4 linked regions of the Caenorhabditis elegans genome follow. The protein of the gene in region 3 purifies or fractionates together with the protein of the main gene of each other region. This does not show direct contact. Each region holds a gene or a part of one and is shown on either strand. Other genes may lie near its edges. The genes, in order: spig-20, aldo-1, F32B5.1 and chil-10.

Evidence for each region.
Region 1: the proteins of F32B5.1 (region 3) and spig-20 fractionate together in Caenorhabditis elegans (co-fractionation; one large-scale study listed by BioGRID). This does not show direct contact.
Region 2: the proteins of F32B5.1 (region 3) and aldo-1 fractionate together in Caenorhabditis elegans (co-fractionation; one large-scale study listed by BioGRID). This does not show direct contact.
Region 4: the proteins of F32B5.1 (region 3) and chil-10 fractionate together in Caenorhabditis elegans (co-fractionation; one large-scale study listed by BioGRID). This does not show direct contact.

Annotation. Positions count from the first base shown.
Region 1 is NC_003284.9:6,084,101-6,087,273, reverse strand, and holds spig-20 (Neuropeptide-Like Protein), read right to left. Parts: upstream 1,151-3,173; 5' UTR 1,134-1,150; coding exon 1,023-1,133; intron 970-1,022; coding exon 775-969; 3' UTR 707-774; downstream 1-706. Other genes in the region: C45B2.2 (Neuropeptide-Like Protein), read right to left, coding at 2,173-2,361, 2,411-2,521.
Region 2 is NC_003281.10:13,562,754-13,566,847, forward strand, and holds aldo-1 (Fructose-bisphosphate aldolase 1), read right to left. Parts: upstream 2,185-4,094; 5' UTR 2,167-2,184; coding exon 2,073-2,166; intron 1,973-2,072; coding exon 1,497-1,972; intron 1,258-1,496; coding exon 730-1,257; 3' UTR 593-729; downstream 1-592. Other genes in the region: T05D4.2 (F-box associated domain-containing protein), read right to left, coding at 1-14, 183-283. UniProt on the Caenorhabditis elegans protein: May be involved in the metabolism of fructose-bisphosphate (beta-D-fructose 1,6-bisphosphate) and of fructose 1-phosphate.
Region 3 is NC_003279.8:2,698,208-2,702,827, reverse strand, and holds F32B5.1 (arginine kinase), read right to left. Parts: upstream 2,409-4,620; coding exon 2,226-2,408; intron 2,212-2,225; exon of another isoform or gene 1,990-2,211; intron 1,945-1,989; coding exon 1,147-1,944; intron 1,099-1,146; coding exon 886-1,098; intron 836-885; coding exon 746-835; 3' UTR 670-745; downstream 1-669. Other genes in the region: F32B5.2 (Glycoprotein), read right to left, coding at 2,873-3,016, 3,070-3,277, 3,741-3,852, 3,901-3,994, 4,499-4,620.
Region 4 is NC_003284.9:955,710-961,157, reverse strand, and holds chil-10 (GH18 domain-containing protein), read right to left. Parts: upstream 3,278-5,448; 5' UTR 3,232-3,277; coding exon 3,031-3,231; intron 2,987-3,030; coding exon 2,690-2,986; intron 1,989-2,689; coding exon 1,816-1,988; intron 1,767-1,815; coding exon 1,700-1,766; intron 1,624-1,699; coding exon 1,567-1,623; intron 1,421-1,566; coding exon 1,311-1,420; intron 889-1,310; coding exon 678-888; 3' UTR 590-677; downstream 1-589. Other genes in the region: ncs-1 (Neuronal calcium sensor 1), read left to right, coding at 396-497; apm-3 (MHD domain-containing protein), read right to left, coding at 3,542-3,634, 4,195-4,440, 4,493-4,595, 4,647-4,720, 4,765-4,878, 5,317-5,448.

The sequences.
Region 1 (3,173 bases), on a different chromosome or scaffold from region 3:
TGACACTGAACTGAACTGATCTCCTAAATTTCATCAGTAAAATTTTTTTGTTGTCAAGCTTTGAAACTTCGTGATTAGAGCTTATGAGACGGTAGTTTGAAAGTCAAACTAGTGTCATTTTCTCAAATTCAAAGTTTCGATTTCTGAACAGCACAAGATGCACTTTTCCTGCTCCAAAACTTTTGAAGTATTACCAGGCCGCTTCAAATTCGTTGAAGTAATTTGTTTTGGCTTCCATTTTAAACATTCCGTCGAGATCATGGAGAAACAATCTCCAAAAGCATGGCTTTCAATAAAAAATGCAAAAAAAATCAAGGATAGTGGCACTTTTGTGAAGCTTCCAAAAACATACAAGTTAAGTTTTTAGCTCAGTTCTGCAAAAATGAAGAACCATCCAATCAAAAATGCCAATTTTTGCTTTAGAGTACACAGAATCGGAGTCCAGTCAGCATTGAAATGTCTTCATTTACACCGTCAGGCTTCAAGTCTGTTCAACATCTAGGAAGTTTCCATATTTTTGAGAGAGTTCCATTTCTCGAAATTTACCGCAAATATTCATGATGTGCTCTTGTGGATCTAATAACAAAACTGATTTCCAGAATTTGACAAAAGTGACAAACTTTTTCTGTCATGATTATTTTTTCAGACCTTGTGAACTTGTGAAAACATGTATTGAAAAATTGAAAATTTCGATGTTTCTGGTAAAAATGCAATGTGACATTTATTGAAGGAAAAACAAACTAGTCAAATTATAAAAGAAATACTTTTTAACAATTACTTTCCTCCTGGGAATCCGTATCGTCCGTACCCTGCAGATGGTTGCTGGAATCGGTTTGATCTGTAGTCATTTTGTCCCCAACGAGTTTGTTTCTTCCAGTCATCGTACAAATCGTTGAGATTACGCTCGTAGTTTCCACGACGTCCATAATCAGAACGAACCTCGTGTCGGTTATAATCCCACACACCTTGCTGAAAATAATTTTGCTTTTAGAGATTTTTCAACAAAAATAAGTATGACAAACCTTTTCAAGGAATCTCTCATAAGAACTTGGCCATCCATAACGGTTTCCAGGTCCGGCAGTGACAGTTGCTAAAAGCATGGCAAACGCCAGGAAAACGGCAGTAAAGTTCATCTTGACTGATGATGTCCTGACCATTGATTCCTTCACTATTTATACTCCTTTTAAAGCTACGCCTCTTAAATTTAATGTCTAATTTTCACATTGTGTTTTTGAACTATCGGCCGCTTCGTTCATCTATTTTTTTCATCGAATTCTCGGTTACCCGGGAAACACAATCTCGATTGTAACAGTTTTCTGACAAATCAGAACGCCACCAAACAAAGATTGCGTTTCGGGAAGTGAACTGATAGCGAATAGATCAGGTTCAAATGAACAATTTAGTAATACTATTTCAAAATCCAAAATTTATATTTGTGATTGAATAATTTGTGCTCACCAACTAGATGATTTTTTGGAAGATTTTTTAAAAACGTTTTTGTGGTTGTATTTTGTGCCACTGCAAACGGTGATAAACTATAATATTCTATTATATTAACTACTTCATAATATTATTCCAAGGCAAAGGAAGTATGTTCCTCATTATTAAATTAAGAATAAAGTTCAACAATCAAACTCAGATAATAGCTGAACGTGAGAAAATTGTGTAGAAGCCTGGAAATAATTGTTTCAGGTTTTGATTATTGTCGCTTTGAATAGAAGTACTCGAAAAATGAAAACATGGTCTTTTTCGAAAATCGCCTCCCCAGAACGATCTCTCATAAGATTGTTTTCGGCAAGTTTTAGTAAAATCTGAGGTGAACAATTGAAGATAAATCGTGGCCGAGTTCTGGTTTTTTTAGGCCACGTAGTAAAAACCCTCTGTGAACCTTCTATCTTTTTGATAACATCTGTATTGATATATCTCGCATGAAAACAAAAGTTTTTTATCTGATCTTTACTTCAGTGAAAGACTGCTGTGAATTTACTCATTGTTTGAAACGTTAAGTTTTGTTAATAAGTCCATTTTTGAAATTCAAAAACATTTTGCAATCCTTATAAATGTTCACTTTGCAGTTACCATAATTACAAAAAATTACGAATTTTATTTGAGATTTTGTAAAACTAAGACAAAAACGATAGAATTATTAACAAAAAACGCCAAAATTTGTGTTTATCCCTTGAATCCGTAACGGCTATTTCCTCCAGTTGGTTGTTGGAATCTGTTGGATCTGTATCCCTTTCCTCCCCATTGGGTTTGTCTCTTCCAGTCGTCGAAAAGATCACGGAGGTCACGCTCGTAGTTCTTGCGTCCTCTGTAATCAGCACGGGCTTCGTGTCTGTTGAAGTCCCAAACTCCTTGCTGTAAATTACTTATTTAAAACTTTATTTTAAAACAATAATTTACTCACTCTCTCAAGGAATCTCTCGTAAGAGCTTGGCCATCCGTAACGGTTTCCTGGTCCAGCAGCGACGGTTGCCAAAAGCATGGCGAAAGCCAAAATAATTGCCAAAGAGTTCATTGTAGTCGAATGATGAATTTCTTGCCAAATTTTCTTTATTTATACTGTTTTTCTCAGGTACGCCTCTATATGTGCGGTCCAGTTTATACGTTGAATCACTGACCTCTGTTGTCTCCTACGTTGCATTTCGTCAATCTCTTTATCATCATTGCATCGGTTGCTAGATGTGGTGTTACGTTTTTACAAAGTATCACGATTGTGAGGTGTCAGGCTGATTAGATGAATTAAAACGGAAATAACATCATTTGAAATACAATATTTCAGATAGTTCAGGTTCAGAACCATTACGTTTTCTGTGAATCATCTGAGGTTCAGATGACTAAACAGTTAAATTTGTAGACTACGTGGCTGCTGAGTTGTTGCTCTTAAAGCACGGTATTGATGAATCCACCAATGAATATTTAATTTCAACGCAGTGATTTAGTTTCCTACTACATTTCAGTATTAATCAGTGAAAGTAATTTAATGAAAAAACTGAAAAACATTGCTGAAAATAATGATGAAAACTCTAAAGGTTTCATGGGAAATCTGAGAAATCTTAAAAAGTTCGTTTTCGTTATTTCCCATGTATATTTTTTCCCACAATTGACCCCGAAACTATTTTACGGTTTAAAAGGATCACTTTACCATTAACATACTCTTTCCCGTGATT
Region 2 (4,094 bases), on a different chromosome or scaffold from region 3:
AGGCATAGTCCATCCTGGAAATGTTTATATTGGTTTTGTTTGATTTATTCGTTTGACTTTTAAAAATCTCGGTTAGTCGATTTCTGAAGATCAAACAACTTGGAAAACAAAAACAATCCAACGACAGGGTGTAACACATTTACTATTGGAAATTTAGAAAATTTAGTTTTAAAAACACTTACATTTCAAAAGGGTTCTTGGCAGCCAAGGTATCCTTTTCAGTTGGCGGACCATAGTACTTGGTATAGAAGATCTCAGATCCTCTCACTTCGCGGTAGTACATTGCAATGGACAAATGAATGGCTGTAATGCGTTGCGAATAGTGTGCAACTGGTTAGATATCGATCTGAAAATGTGCATCGCACCTGCCCAAGGTTAAACGGCTCCACTGGGAAATTGTTCTCTCGCACTTACACTAGGCACCTTCTGTTCTCAACAATTGAGCAGACACATAAACCTACAAGGAATAGTGAGTAGTAGAAGACATCTTGACGTCATCACTATGAATGCATCGCGACGAGCCATCGCTCAATTGTCTGTCTGCTTGAATCAAATGTTCCAAAGATACATCTCTCTTTAATTGTGCATTCGTATCTACCAAAGATTTATTAAATCCGAAGAGACTTAGAGAAGCAAATAATGACAATTAAAGGGGTATACAGACACATAATTCTACGTGCGTTGAATAGTTTTAAAAAATGAGAAAAAAGAGATCCTGAGCGTGGCCATTTAATAAGAATGATTGGCGACGAAGAGGGATTGGGAAGCGGCTGCGTCAGCTGAAGCATCCCCGGTGTATTTTCCGACAGAGGCAAGGGAGTTGACCTGAGCACGATGGAGCAGGACTTCTTGGGCGGCTGCGATGTTCTCGTCCTTTCCGGCCCACTTGGCGAGACAGGAGGCTTGAAGAGCACGTCCATAGGAGAATGTGAGGGCCCATGGCTTCTTTCCGCTCACTTGATTGATGGCGTTCAAGTTCAATGTGGCATCCTCTTCGGATTGTCCACCGGAGAGGAAGACGACTCCTGGAACGGCGGATGGGACTCCGCGTTGGAGGGCGGTGACGGTGGCGAGTCCGATATCGGCATTCGATGGCTTCTCGCCGGTGAATGATTGTCCGGAGGTGACCATGTTTGGCTTGAGGAGGGTTCCCTCGAGGAAGACGTGATGCTCGTTGAGAGCGTGGTACACATATGAGAGCACGGTCTCGGTGATCTTCTGTCCGCGAGCCAAGCAGTGTTCACCGTCTGGGAGGATCTGAAATGATAACTAATTAGAGTGCCAATTATATTTTTTTTACAAAAAAAAAACTGCTGCGAGACCCAAGTAACGGACGTGGCATTAACTTGGGTTTTGCATCGAATATTAAAATTTTCTGTGAAAACCGTTCTAAGTATTACATTCAAGCCGATCTACGACTACATCCCCCCAAAAGGAACTTAGGTGGGTAGGTACCAGTGCTGTGCGACTCTCGGCTCTCGACTCTCGGTAATTACCTCTGGCTCAACAATTGGTACAAGTCCATTTTGTTGGCAAATTGAAGCATAGCGAGCCAAGTTGGAGGCAATTTCCTTAAGAGCAGTCACTGATGGAGTCGTAGATGAGATCTTGTGCACGCATCTCCACTTGGCGAACTGTGCTCCGTCTTTCTTGTATTGAGCGCAACGAGCATTCAAGTCATCCAATCCCTGAGTGGTTCCCTCTCCGATGGTTCCGGCCATTGGGACGACACCCTTGTCAACCTTGATTCCTGGAATGATTCCTTGCTCCTGGAGAAGAGCAGTGAATGGCTTTCCGTCGTCGGTCTTTTGGTAGAATGTCTCGTGGAACATGATGACTCCCGAGATGTACTTGTTGAGGTCGGCTCCGGCGGTAAACAGAAGTTGACGATACTTGCGGCGGTTCTCCTCGGTGTTCTCGAGTCCGATGCTGTTAAGACGCTTGTCCATGGATCCGGTGGACTCATCGGCGGCTGCAAATTCGAATTTCAGGGAGATTGGAGAGATTAGAGATTAGATTTGTAACACACAAAATGCCAAATTTTGTTTCCCAAATTTAATATCGTTACTTACCGAGAATTCCCTTTCCTGGGGTGACGATGGCGTTGGCGATGGAGCGGAGTTCGTCCTCCTGGGCCTTGGTCAAGAATTGCGAGTAAGAAGCCATTTTAGAAAATGAAGTTGCCTGAAAATGTGCAAGAGTGAAGTCGGTGAAAAACAAGGGCCGCTGATAAAAGTGAAAAGAGCCGGAGCTTTCTCTCTCGCGCCAAACGAATCGATGGCACCGCCGAGAAGGGAGACGGAGAGCCCCTGGCGAGAGAGCAAGAGTGTGTGAGAAGCCGTGCAGAGTGGCGAGAGGGAATTGAGGGGCCCTACGTGATTTGCACGAAATTTTGTGAGAAGTAAAAGAAGAAGAACTGCTGTTGGAGCAGAACGTGAGAAATAGTTTGAAGAAGCGAGAGGAGCAGGAATTGCCAAAGTCTTGAACTTTTCAACGTTGGAGGATTTGATTTGATTTGGTTCACGGAAGCGTGCGGAGATATGAAGATATGAAAGTTGAAATTGCTTTTCAGACATATGCCTCTGGCGTACTTAGAGCAGCCGGGCTATGAGCTCGAGCCTAGTTTAGGACTCATTGGAGTAGTCTGAAATTGAAATAATGTAAAAGAGATTACGAAATTTGGAATGATGCAATCGTTTTTCAGAGGAATCGACCCTACTTGGCACATTTTGTTTTTTTTTTTTAATTCGAAAATGAGCCAACTTGCCCCTACGATAAAAACACAATTTACCTAGTTTTCCAATATTATAGGGTTTAGACCACATAGTTATATTTAAAAAAAAACTAGAGTAAACTGCATTTTCGTTTGCCATATTCCGTAACTCGCTCTGTATTAATTATCAAAATAACTCAATTTTGTGTCATTTTACTCAATTTTTGGGGACAAAACCAATGGTTTTGGTCAAAGTTGTAATGTCAAAACTTTGGCATGTGCGGCAAATATCGAAATTTGCAGAGCTCGGAAAATTTAACAAATCTACTTTTTTGAAATTTGTCTTGCTCGGCAAATTCAGCAAAGTTACCGAGCTCAGCAAACGGCAAATTTGGCAAATTTGCCGTATACCCCTGCTCTGTTTATTCCCTGGGCATTCTCGTAAGACCTATAAGGCTACTATAAGTACGAGAACATGCGAGGCACGTACTAATAAAACAATTCAAAATCTACGACAAATCATGACAAAAAAAAACAAGAAGAGGATCTTATGTAAAACAAGCAATACATCTATGTATTCATTTTTGTAAATAAAATGAGCTTCTATGTCAAAACTATAACATGGGTACAACAAAAAAGACAGCGAATAGAAAACGACGTGATGTGAAAAAGATATTTTGAGAATGGCTATGTGCTTTTTTGCGTGAGATGGCAATATGGAGGAGGCATGATGCAATTGTGCGAATAGTGAGAGTTTAGAGAAAACGTAGAAGGGTTATGAAATTGTTTTTTTTTCTTCATGGACCCAGAATTTGAATGTGCACAAAGAAAACTTAACCATTGGAAATTTAGGTAGAATGCCTTGCAAAATCTATAAAAGCAACATCTTATCACGACTAACATATATATTCTTCTAATTTTCAGAGTTTGAATCAGAGGGGATCCGGAAATTTCAATTTCGGCAATTTGCCGGAAAAAATGGTTTTTGTCAAAATCTTTGAAAAAAAAATATTGGGAACTTAAAAAAAAAAGATGTTTGAAAAATGCGGGAAAACCGTAGCTCGGAATTGAGAAAAAGTTGTTACTGGCAAGTTTTAGAAGCTTTTGGAATGTAAAAAGTTTTAAAATTTTAACCAAGCGTATTCTCAATTAGCTGAAAATTTAAGCAATTCCAAAAAAAAAGCAACAAACTGTTTTGAAAAACTCGATTATCGAAAAGCTCTTCCTGTATATAGATAGATGAGAAGTGTAAGACGAACATAGAAAAAAGTATTTTCTCTAGGTAATGCTCTATCTGGCCATTTCCCACGTGAAATGCTCATGTCTGTCAAATGTTGACCCATAGTTGACAGTTGTTCTTTGTCTAAATGAATGTGGCCAA
Region 3 (4,620 bases):
CTATAGAAGATTAGATAACACATATTTTGTCAGTTGAACAATTTTTGATAAAACTAAGTTTATTTGAGTTATGGTCTAGTGAAGTTGAATGAGGTGTATTCAGCTTTATCAGATCTAACAAGGGAAGTATTTCAACTTAATTCCGGACATCTGAACATAACCTATGCCATTCGGACCTATGCCTTCTGAATAGGCCCCTACGAAAAAAATTTAGCGGCAGAGGAGCACTTTGAACAGGAAAAAAGTCCCACTGAAAATTTTTCAGTGCATTTTTTCACAATTCTCGAGGTTTCTAAATTGGCTCCAAATGTGAATTTTTGCTAATTTTTTATGCTTTCTAGGATGTTCAGGGGTCGGCAAACATTCAGAATTTTTTAAATAATTTTTTATAATTTAAAAAAAAACTCAATTTTTTTTGAATCCATGAGAATTTTTTCGAAAATTAAAAAAAATTCCAAAAAACGAATCTGAATGATTTCCGGCTCCTGAACACCCTAGAAATCATCAAAAATCTGCAAACATTCACATTTGGAGCCAATTTACGGACTGCTAAAGTTGGGAAAAAATGCACTGAAAAATTTTCAGAGCGACTTGTTTCAAGTGCTCAAGCTCAAGTCAAAAGAGTAAAAGTAGGTGATAGAGTGAGAGAAAGAAAAGAAACATAGAAATCATTCTACTACCATTTATTTAAATAGTTAATAGAGAAATACAATATGACTAAACGAGTTTTTCTTCTTCTTCCAGTTTACTTCTGCTTCTCCTCCATTTCAATTAGCTTCTTCACTCCGTCGTACATTTGTTTCACAGCTTGATATTCCGAGAGTCCTAGGCGAGCCTGAAAAGTTGGAAATGTTGATTTTTCAACAAAAAACGTGGTTTATTTACCTTGTTAGAAATGTCATAGACTCCTCCAACAGAATCCGAGTGTTCTCCGTGGATTCCGCGCACTTGGAGATTGAGCTTCTCGCAAATCTCGATGAAGTCCTTGCGGGCGGCGAGCTTTGGAAGAGCAATGTGGACGGATGCACGAACTGTTGATCCGAGGTTTGTTGGGCAGAATGTCAGCCATCCGAGACGGTCATCACGGGAGAATGGAACCTGGAAAACATAATATGTTGAGTTTCGGAGCCTTATTAGAAAATCAACCTGCTTCTCAATTCCGCGAACTCCCTTGATAAGTCTGTCAAGCACAGCTCCGACATCAGACCCTTCTTGCATTGAAATGATTCTCATATGATCTTCCTCGTTCACCCAAATCAGGAAAGTCTTGTCGTTATTGTGGAAGATACCACGTCCCTTTGGCCAGAAGTTGCAGGCATTTGCGTATTGAAGATGTCTATCTCCCTCCTTGAACAGGAAATGATCAGCAATCAGCTGCTTCTGAGTATCCTTGCCCATACCATCCAATGGATAGTACTTGCCCTTGAGTTCCTTGTCCGAATATTCAGAGAACGCCTTCTTCACCTTTCCTTCCATCTCAAGATAGTTGTCCTGAGTGAGACATGGATTGAATGGATATCCCTTCAAAGAACGTCCACATCGGATTCTCGTCGACTTGATGTACTTTCCTTTTGGATCCAATGGTGGGAATTCCTTAGTCTTTCCCTCTCCAAGATCAACTGGTGGTTGCTTCTGCTTTGGACTGAATCCGTGATAATCCTCAATGATCTTGTCGAACAATGGAGCGAACAAAGTGTAAGCTTCAGCGTCCGGAGCGTAGACTCCAACTCCGGCGTCCAAATTGTAGACACCTGACCGGATGCAGTCGTAAAGGGTTGCTCCGACCTTTGTGCGCTTTGTCTTAAGCTTCTCGACGACTTCCTTGGTCAAATGCTTCTTGAGCAGCGACTTGCACTTGGCTCCTTCTGGACCATTGAGCTTGGCGTAGGCCTCCTCGATCTTCTTGATCGTGGCAGCGTCGACTTCGGATTTGGCTTGAAGTTGCTGAAAAATTATAATTAGAGATTTGTAAAGCTTTTTCTGAAAAATCGACTCCCAGAATATATATTCTCATGTCAGAGTTTCAGCTCGCGCGTGGAACGGCTCAAACAGAAAAGTTGATTTACAAACTTCAAAATGATGACAAATCACGTGTTCTGGGCATACCGCTCCGGACGCAGCTGCGCTGGGAGCCCCCTCAAATTGGCTTCAGAGTTGCGCGGTCCCTGATTAAAGGGAGCAAGGAAATATTTCTGAAAATTGCCCTTTTTTGGCTTTAGAATTACCTGTGGAGTGAGTGTGTAGACTGCGGATCCGGCTCCAAGAGCAGCGAGCACTCCAGCGACATACCGCGAGTTTGTTGAACGGAGAAATTGCGATGCCATTTCGACGAGACGAAGAGTTGAGTGAGAAGAATCGAATTTCAAACGAGAACTTCTTCGGTAATAACCAATCTGAGCTTTTTTCATGACACGTTGACATTTGGAAAACACGTGGAAAGATTTAGAAATTAGATAAGAAAATTGTCACGTTTTTAAAAAAATGTTTTGGAAAGTTTTGTTCAAAATTTTTTTCTCAAGCTTTTGAATTTAAATACGTGAGAAGCTTGTTTTTATTTTTGCGCTGGATCGATGCACCCTATTTTGTGCGCAAAGATCAAAAGTTATTCTGGTGGGTCTCGCCACGATCTTTGGAGAATTGGTGGTAAACTTTCAGACTGTTCAGTGGCTTAGGCTTCGGCTTCGGCTAGGCCTAGACTATACTATTACCTACCTTACCTATCCTTAAACTTGCCTTTTTGGATAATTTCAAGGTCAGCACAATGATAACGACGTGTCTAGACACTTGTTTCCTCAAAACCTTCCAAATCCCCAGGACAAAAGAAATGGTTAAACTTTCGATTTTTTATTGCATTTCAAAAACTAGAACCTATTCAAAAACAGACAAAAAGTAAAAGAACAAAAAGACAAAGAAAAGATGATTTATCGGAGGAGACGGAAACCAGAACAAATGGACAATCGAGAGCATCGACTACTTTGGAGCACACGTAGTGACGGGATACAGCTGGGTTCAGGAGCTGGAAATTAATTTTTTTGTATAGAAAAATGATTTTTTTACAAAACCCTTTACCTGTGCACAAATCTCATGATCCCCTGGTATTCTTTTCAACGGAACATTCATCTCCTTCCACCCTTCAACTCCGAATGTTCCAATATGATCGGAATGGATTTTTGTGGATCCTTCGAAGATTCTATAACTTAAGCTGACACTATTCGATGAATATGTCCAATCATCTGCAAATCGGATCAGAAGCTCGGTGGAGTCACATCCATTCAGTCTGGAAATAAAGAATTATCTCTTTTTGAACTGTAGGCCATGTCAAAATTTTTGTTTTTCTATAGAAGGCTTATAGGCTTAGGCTTGAGCTTAGACTTAGGCTTAGGTTTAGGCTTAGGCTTAGTCTTAAGCTTTGGCTTAGGCTCAGGCTCAGGATCAGGCTTAGGCTTAGAAGGTAAATATATTAAAACCACAAGGTCTGGGTATGCTTTGAGTAGGCTTCGATGCACTTAGAAATTCTTATTTATGTGCCTACAAGGCAGGCGAAAAAGAAAAAGAAACCTAGGTTGCCTTCAAAGTAAGATGACATTCTTAAAGGCAGGCGGGTAGAAATTTGTTGCCTGCTTGGAAGCTTGTGTTCAGAGCAAGAGCTACAAATTTTACTGCTTTTTATAAAGCCTTTAATACGATTTATGTGAATATCCAAATTTCGTATTCCCATTTTTTTTTCTAAATTCACCCACCTCGATTCAATTTTCAGTAATCGTTTCAGCCAAACATGTTCTGATCCATTTCTCCTCATTTCTTCGCTCATCTTGACTATAAAGTTCTGAGTATCATTTGCCCAATACGTGCCTGAAAATTGGAGCTGCTGATTTTTCACAAAAATATGAAACAACTGACCATACTCTCCATTTCTGAACGTCTCGTATCGAATTGTGGATTTCCATTCAATTTGGTACCATTCATTTGATGTAAATTTGCATGCCACGTATTCCTGCAAAAAAGTTTAGATTGGGTTGAAGAAATTTTGAAACTTTTTGAAAAATAATTTATTTTTTTACCATTTCGACCAAAAAAAATTCCAAAATGTTTTATCACCTCAAAAACTCAATAAAGTTAAATCGGAAAAGCGGCAGATTTGCAACTTGCCGGATTTAAACATTTTCGGCAAATCGGGAAACCGGCAACTTGGCGGAATTAAAAATTTCCGGCAAATCGGCGAATCGGCAAAATTGCCGGAAATGAAAGTTTCCTGCAAAACGGCAAATCGGCTAATTGGCAATTTGCCGAAAATTAAAATTTCCGGTAAATCGCCATATTGCCGGAATTGAAATTTTCCGCTAAATCGGCAAACCGGCAGATTACCGGAAAAAAAATTTCCGGCAAATTAGCAATTTGCGGAAAATTAAATTTTCCGCCAAATCAGCAAACCGGCAATTTTGCCGATTTCATATGGGAAAAGACTTTAGATGACTTCTAAAAAAAAACCCAAGCCTACCGGATACACCGTTGGCACATTAACAATCGGACATTCTTGATTTGTCGAGTTGAACTCAATCCTCTTCTGATGCTCGATTCCCATATTCATTCCCTGTGACAATTTAAATAAATGCCTTGAGA
Region 4 (5,448 bases), on a different chromosome or scaffold from region 3:
TCAACATGTTTTAAACTTCAAACAGCTTATCATCAACAAGAATTTTCTTTAAAAGTTATATATCTAACATGGCCAAACATCGTAACAAAACACTTCAAATTGTTTTTTTGAGATTTTATCATTTTAAGCAAAGTATTAAGCTGCCAGATATTTTGAAAATTATTATTTAAACATTTCAAGACTTTCTGCACAGTTTAACGTTTACAATGTACAAATTTATACAGTTAAAACGCAACTAAAAATGTTTAAAATTTTGAAACTAAAAACTGAGTTTTTTTTCCATTTTTTTTAAATCTTACAATGTTGTTTGGTGATTTTAGTAACAAATTTGTGGTATCGACTAAATTCCACTTTCAAAATTTTTAGAGCATTAAATAATTTCCAAATTTTTCCAGAATAACGATGCTCAACTGACATTGGAAGAATTCAAAGAAGGAGCCAAAGCTGACCCCTCAATTGTGCATGCTCTTTCATTGTATGAGGGTCTCTCCTCTTGACGCATTTCAATATGTTTTCTTATATCAAAATTGCAAACACTATCATCAAGCGTTATGTCCCCTTTTTTCGTCAAAATGAAAGAATCTTTAGTATAATATTTGTCTTCTTATTTACATATCAAATTCCATAGATTAAAATGTTCAAATGAAATAGGCTGAAAAATGTGAAAAGTTGAAACATTAAATCAATAAATTAGTGAAATAGTCGAGTCCCTGTCCATAATCCCAAATGGCAATTCCGACATCGTAGCGGTGAGCCATATTGATGCGAAGTTCCAGCGAGGTGAGTGATGGGAAATAGGCGATGGAATTAGAGGTCTTTACTCTGTGCTCCATTGACTTTTCGTCAAACTCCAACTTGGATTTTTCAGATTTCAATAGTGTCAAGTATCTGAAAGATAATTAATTTGTCGTAATTTAATTAACTATTGATTTGTCAATATATAAAATTAAGAAATGATTTAAGAACTTTGGCAATATTTTATGTCAAACGTTTGGCTTTACCGAATTTTGGACAATCCAGTTTCTGTATTACAGTTGTTTTTTTTTAAATATTTTCCGGATTCCACAATTTTTACAATAACTTTACAAAGGTGGCCTTGTTCAGAATCTGGAAGATTTGGAACGTGAAAAAAAAAGTTAGAAAATTGAACTAAAAAAAAAGAACGTCCGGTTTGCCATCCCAATTCCCAGTGAACAATTGTTAAACTTGCAAATCTCTTCCACATTGTTCTATTTTCTTTTCTATGTAGCTCAACAGTATAATAAGACTTTCCATTTTCGCACAACTCTTTTTTCTTTCTTAATTCTCACCTATCCGCAGTGATTGCTTCCACATTGCCTTTGGAGAACTCATAGCCGTAGAAATTGAGTCCCGCCAGTGTTTTGTGGCCACCTCCCAAGTAGAAGATACAGCTCTCAAACTGAAATGAGATAATTTTTTTTAGAATTCCACGGAAACTAATGTGTTTCTCTCTTAGTTTTTTTCAAAAGTTTGCTGGAATCTTGCTGAATTCTTAAAGAACCCCAAGAAATTGGATTTTAGTGAATAAAATTTTTGAAAACTAACCCAGTCGTATGGAGCCACACCAGCTGGTTTGTTTCCCCGGTAATCGTAGGTCATTATCTGAAAAATTGACAATCTCACAGAAGTTTCTTACAGTGTTGTTTTCAACTACACAACTTAAATTCCTCCCACTTACCTGAACAAAATCGGAAACAGCTGTGATCTTCTTAAAGTCATCCGGAGTCACGAGATTGTTGGGTTGGCTGAAAATATGTTAATTTTTCCCAAGTTTCTTATCACCAATATTTCTACTTATTCCATTCCAGGGGCGCAGGAACTGTTAGAATCACTTGCATATGCAACTTTTTCATTTGCCTCGACAAGTCTTGTATACTTTCGATGATAAACTCCTTTACTTCTAGAGACTGCACAGAGATCAATGCTTGCATGTAGAGCTCCACGACAGCGCCTTCAAACTGGTTTCTCTGGAAAAATGATGGTGATTTTTATGTTTGTGTTTCTGACGGGGATAGTCTAGACGGTATTTTTATGTCGTTGAGTCAAGTTCAAGCCCTTTATCCCGATGGGTCCACTTGTCCATAACTGAGAAGTGGAGCAATCCACGACTGGATTACCGGCCGCAGTCCAAGTTTCAAGCGAGGCTTAACATTAGCCCAGTGGAAGCTTCAGCTACAGACCCTTCAGCTTGAATGACAGACAATCATTTACCGTATATTCTCTATTAGTGCGGCATCTCTACTGCCCTTTCGAAAATTAGTGCGGCAGTCTCCAGTAGTCCGGCAGTCTCTAATAGTGCGGCACCCCTTCTTTTTGGTTGCGAAAGCCACCTCAAATATTCGGATTCTACAATGGTATCCTTGTTCATTCTTCAATAATTTCTCATAAATTTTCACGTAAACATTGCATTTCAGAGTCTTTGGTGGCAAAATACACAATTTTCATTACTTTTCACATAAAATATGAGCTTTTATGAGGGAATTTTGAGGTTACTACTCTCGAAAGTAGTAACCTCAAAGTGAAAATTAGTTATCGAAAATTAGTACGGCAGTCTCCAGTAGTCCGGCAGTCTCTAATAGTGCGCAAGTCGTGGAAGGCTCGGAAATTAGTGCGGCATGCCGCACTAATAGAGAATATACGGTAATTCTTTATTTCAAATGGAACTAACGCTGTAAAAATTGGCGATATCCTCGAAACAATGTCTTGCAACTTTTGCATCCATCAACAAGTTCTTCATCTCCTGAGCACTCCAACCATCAAACAGAATTCGAGGCACAATCGCGATGTTTTCGTTTTTTTCACGGAGCTTTTCAATCCAATCTCGGTTAATTTCATGTGTTCCTTCAATCTTGCAGCCATCCAATTTCCCGTTTTCACTGAATGCCTTGGCTTGAAACCAAACCGGAGAGACGTGAGTCAGCTTGTGAGCTGTTTTCTCCGCCAACTCGTAGCCATGCCGGTTCCACTGAAACACAATACAGTTATTTTGTTATGTAAAATTTCAATAACCGGTGTAATATACGCCAGCTGAGTGAGCCCTTCTCGGTTGTCCGGAATGTGGAACTGATCGTTGAGTTGCTCGTGCTCTCTTATAATCGACGCTTTGGAAATTGATTCTGGCTTGAATTTCAGTGTTTCGATAAGCTCTTTTCCAGTGGCTTGAGCACTGACTCCAGATATCAATATCCACGTGGCAAGTATAATAATCATTTTTTGTTAACTTTGCTATGATACCCGATACGTTTTATCCTGAAAGCTACGGCACAATTTAGACTTAAACATTAAAAAAAAAAAATTAAAAAAAGTAAATAAACCTGGCATTCAAAACCAAACAACAAAAACGTGCAATTATAGAAATATCGATAAGATTTGCAAACAATAAAACAATTTTATTTTAAGAACAATCAATAAACTAAAAAGTCCTTAAAATAGAAGAGTAATGCCATTTTATAAATTAAGTAAACTGGTTGAAAGAGCAGTGTTGAGACCAAGATGAGATACAGAGAATGTTGATGGAAGACTAAGTGCGAATTGTGAATTTACCGGCTTTCGTTATATATTTCACACCCTTGAACGGCTTGTACTTTTCGCCGTACATATCCAAACGATTGACCTGGAAACAAATTGATGTCTGTGCGTTTCAGCATGCTTATTTTGAAGATAGTTTTGAAAATATGACTTTTTTTTAACTAAAATGTATGTATAGAAAAAAATTTTAAAGTCGGTTAGGTAACACCGCAACCAATAAGGTACAGGATTGTTGATCACTTGGAGAACGGTCGAACGGTCATATTATTCTACCCAAGTTTTTAAAAAACATAGACAATTTCTGAATTCTACTAATATACTTTTTGTGAGACTGGGCAAGAATGAAAGTTTCCAAATTTTAAAACTTTATCTCACTAAAATTCTATCTCACTTCTCCAAAAAGTCGGATAAACAGCCGCACAGCGCTGATAGACAAATATAATTTTAAAAAGAATTTACATTTCCTGGATGATTTTTCCGTATAATTCCTGGTCATTCAAATTGATATCTGACGATTTTTAGGACCACTACCAAGAGTTTTCCTAGTCATATTAAAAATTTGATTACTTGATTTGTTTTTTTATAAACTTGCATGTTTTTACTTTGCAAGTATAGGGGTATTCACTTCAAGCTGATAAAGCTAACCTTTAATCCGGACAGAACCAACTGGTTAATTTTGAATTTCAGTGAAATTGGTGGATTCTCTGCAACAGTAGTTCCGCTCACAGCAACTGATCCTTTGAGTGTTGATGGTTTTCCGACTTCAATTTTTCCAATGGTCCATTGCAATAGTTTAGTCGTCGGGTCGAACGCGATTCTTCCGTGACTCGCCACCAAATTGCAGTTTTGTACACATTTTGGCATTGTGATTTCAAGAACAACGTCTTCCAGCTTAACATCGTTTTTGTTAGAGGGATTGTGATTTAGATCTTCGAAAACTCACCACTTTACCCATGCTTAGCTTTGGTCCAACTGTGAGGTCAAGTTTTCCAGCATTTGGTTTCAAGGAGATCACTTGTCTAACGTAGATTGGAATGGCAACCATACTGAAATTAATTAAGTTATAGAAATTTTATCTGTAGAATGAAAATCATTACTTTTGTGCAGCAATATGATAGGACAACAGACGAAAGTTGCCATCTGGAGGAACAAATGAAAGAACCTTCTCGTTCTGAAAAAATTGTGATTAAGATATAAATGTTATGAGCGGTTTACCTCCCAGCGCTTGTATCTGACACATGGATGGAAGGATACATCATCTAGAAGTCTTGGGTTGATAAGGGTCATTGTGAGATCAGGCATTCCGGACAGTTTACAGCAAACGTCAACCTGAAATTTGTCAAGGATAAGATGAATATATTCTTAATATTTCCAAATATTTTTCAGAATTTTTACCTCCAGAACACATGCTAGTTCAAAACGTCAGCACCCAAATTTGGTGGTGTGAAGTATTATATTATTAAAATATTTTCATTTGGTTTATTTATAATTTTGTATTTAAATCTTTAGAGGTGCACAGAACTAAACAATTTTGCAATCCGATATTCACTACAATTACAAATTGATAGAGATTATCAGTAGCCATAATCGCTTTATTTCCGCAAAATACGTTTTAAGTTTTGAAGTTTAAAAGATTTTGGCATATAATACTACTACAAAGGTCCGCAAACCTCTGGTTCTACAAAAATGTTTTAATAAACAGGACAAAATAGTATGTTCAATATGAAGGCATAATTTGATTTTTTGTTTCAAATACTCAAAACTCACATATCCCTGAATCTCGGCAAAAACAGTGGATCCTTGCTTATCAACAATCACGTCAATTTCCTCAATCACATCAAAATACGCTTCATTATTTGTGTACTTCACTCCTTGTCGCCTCCATGGAATATTTGATAG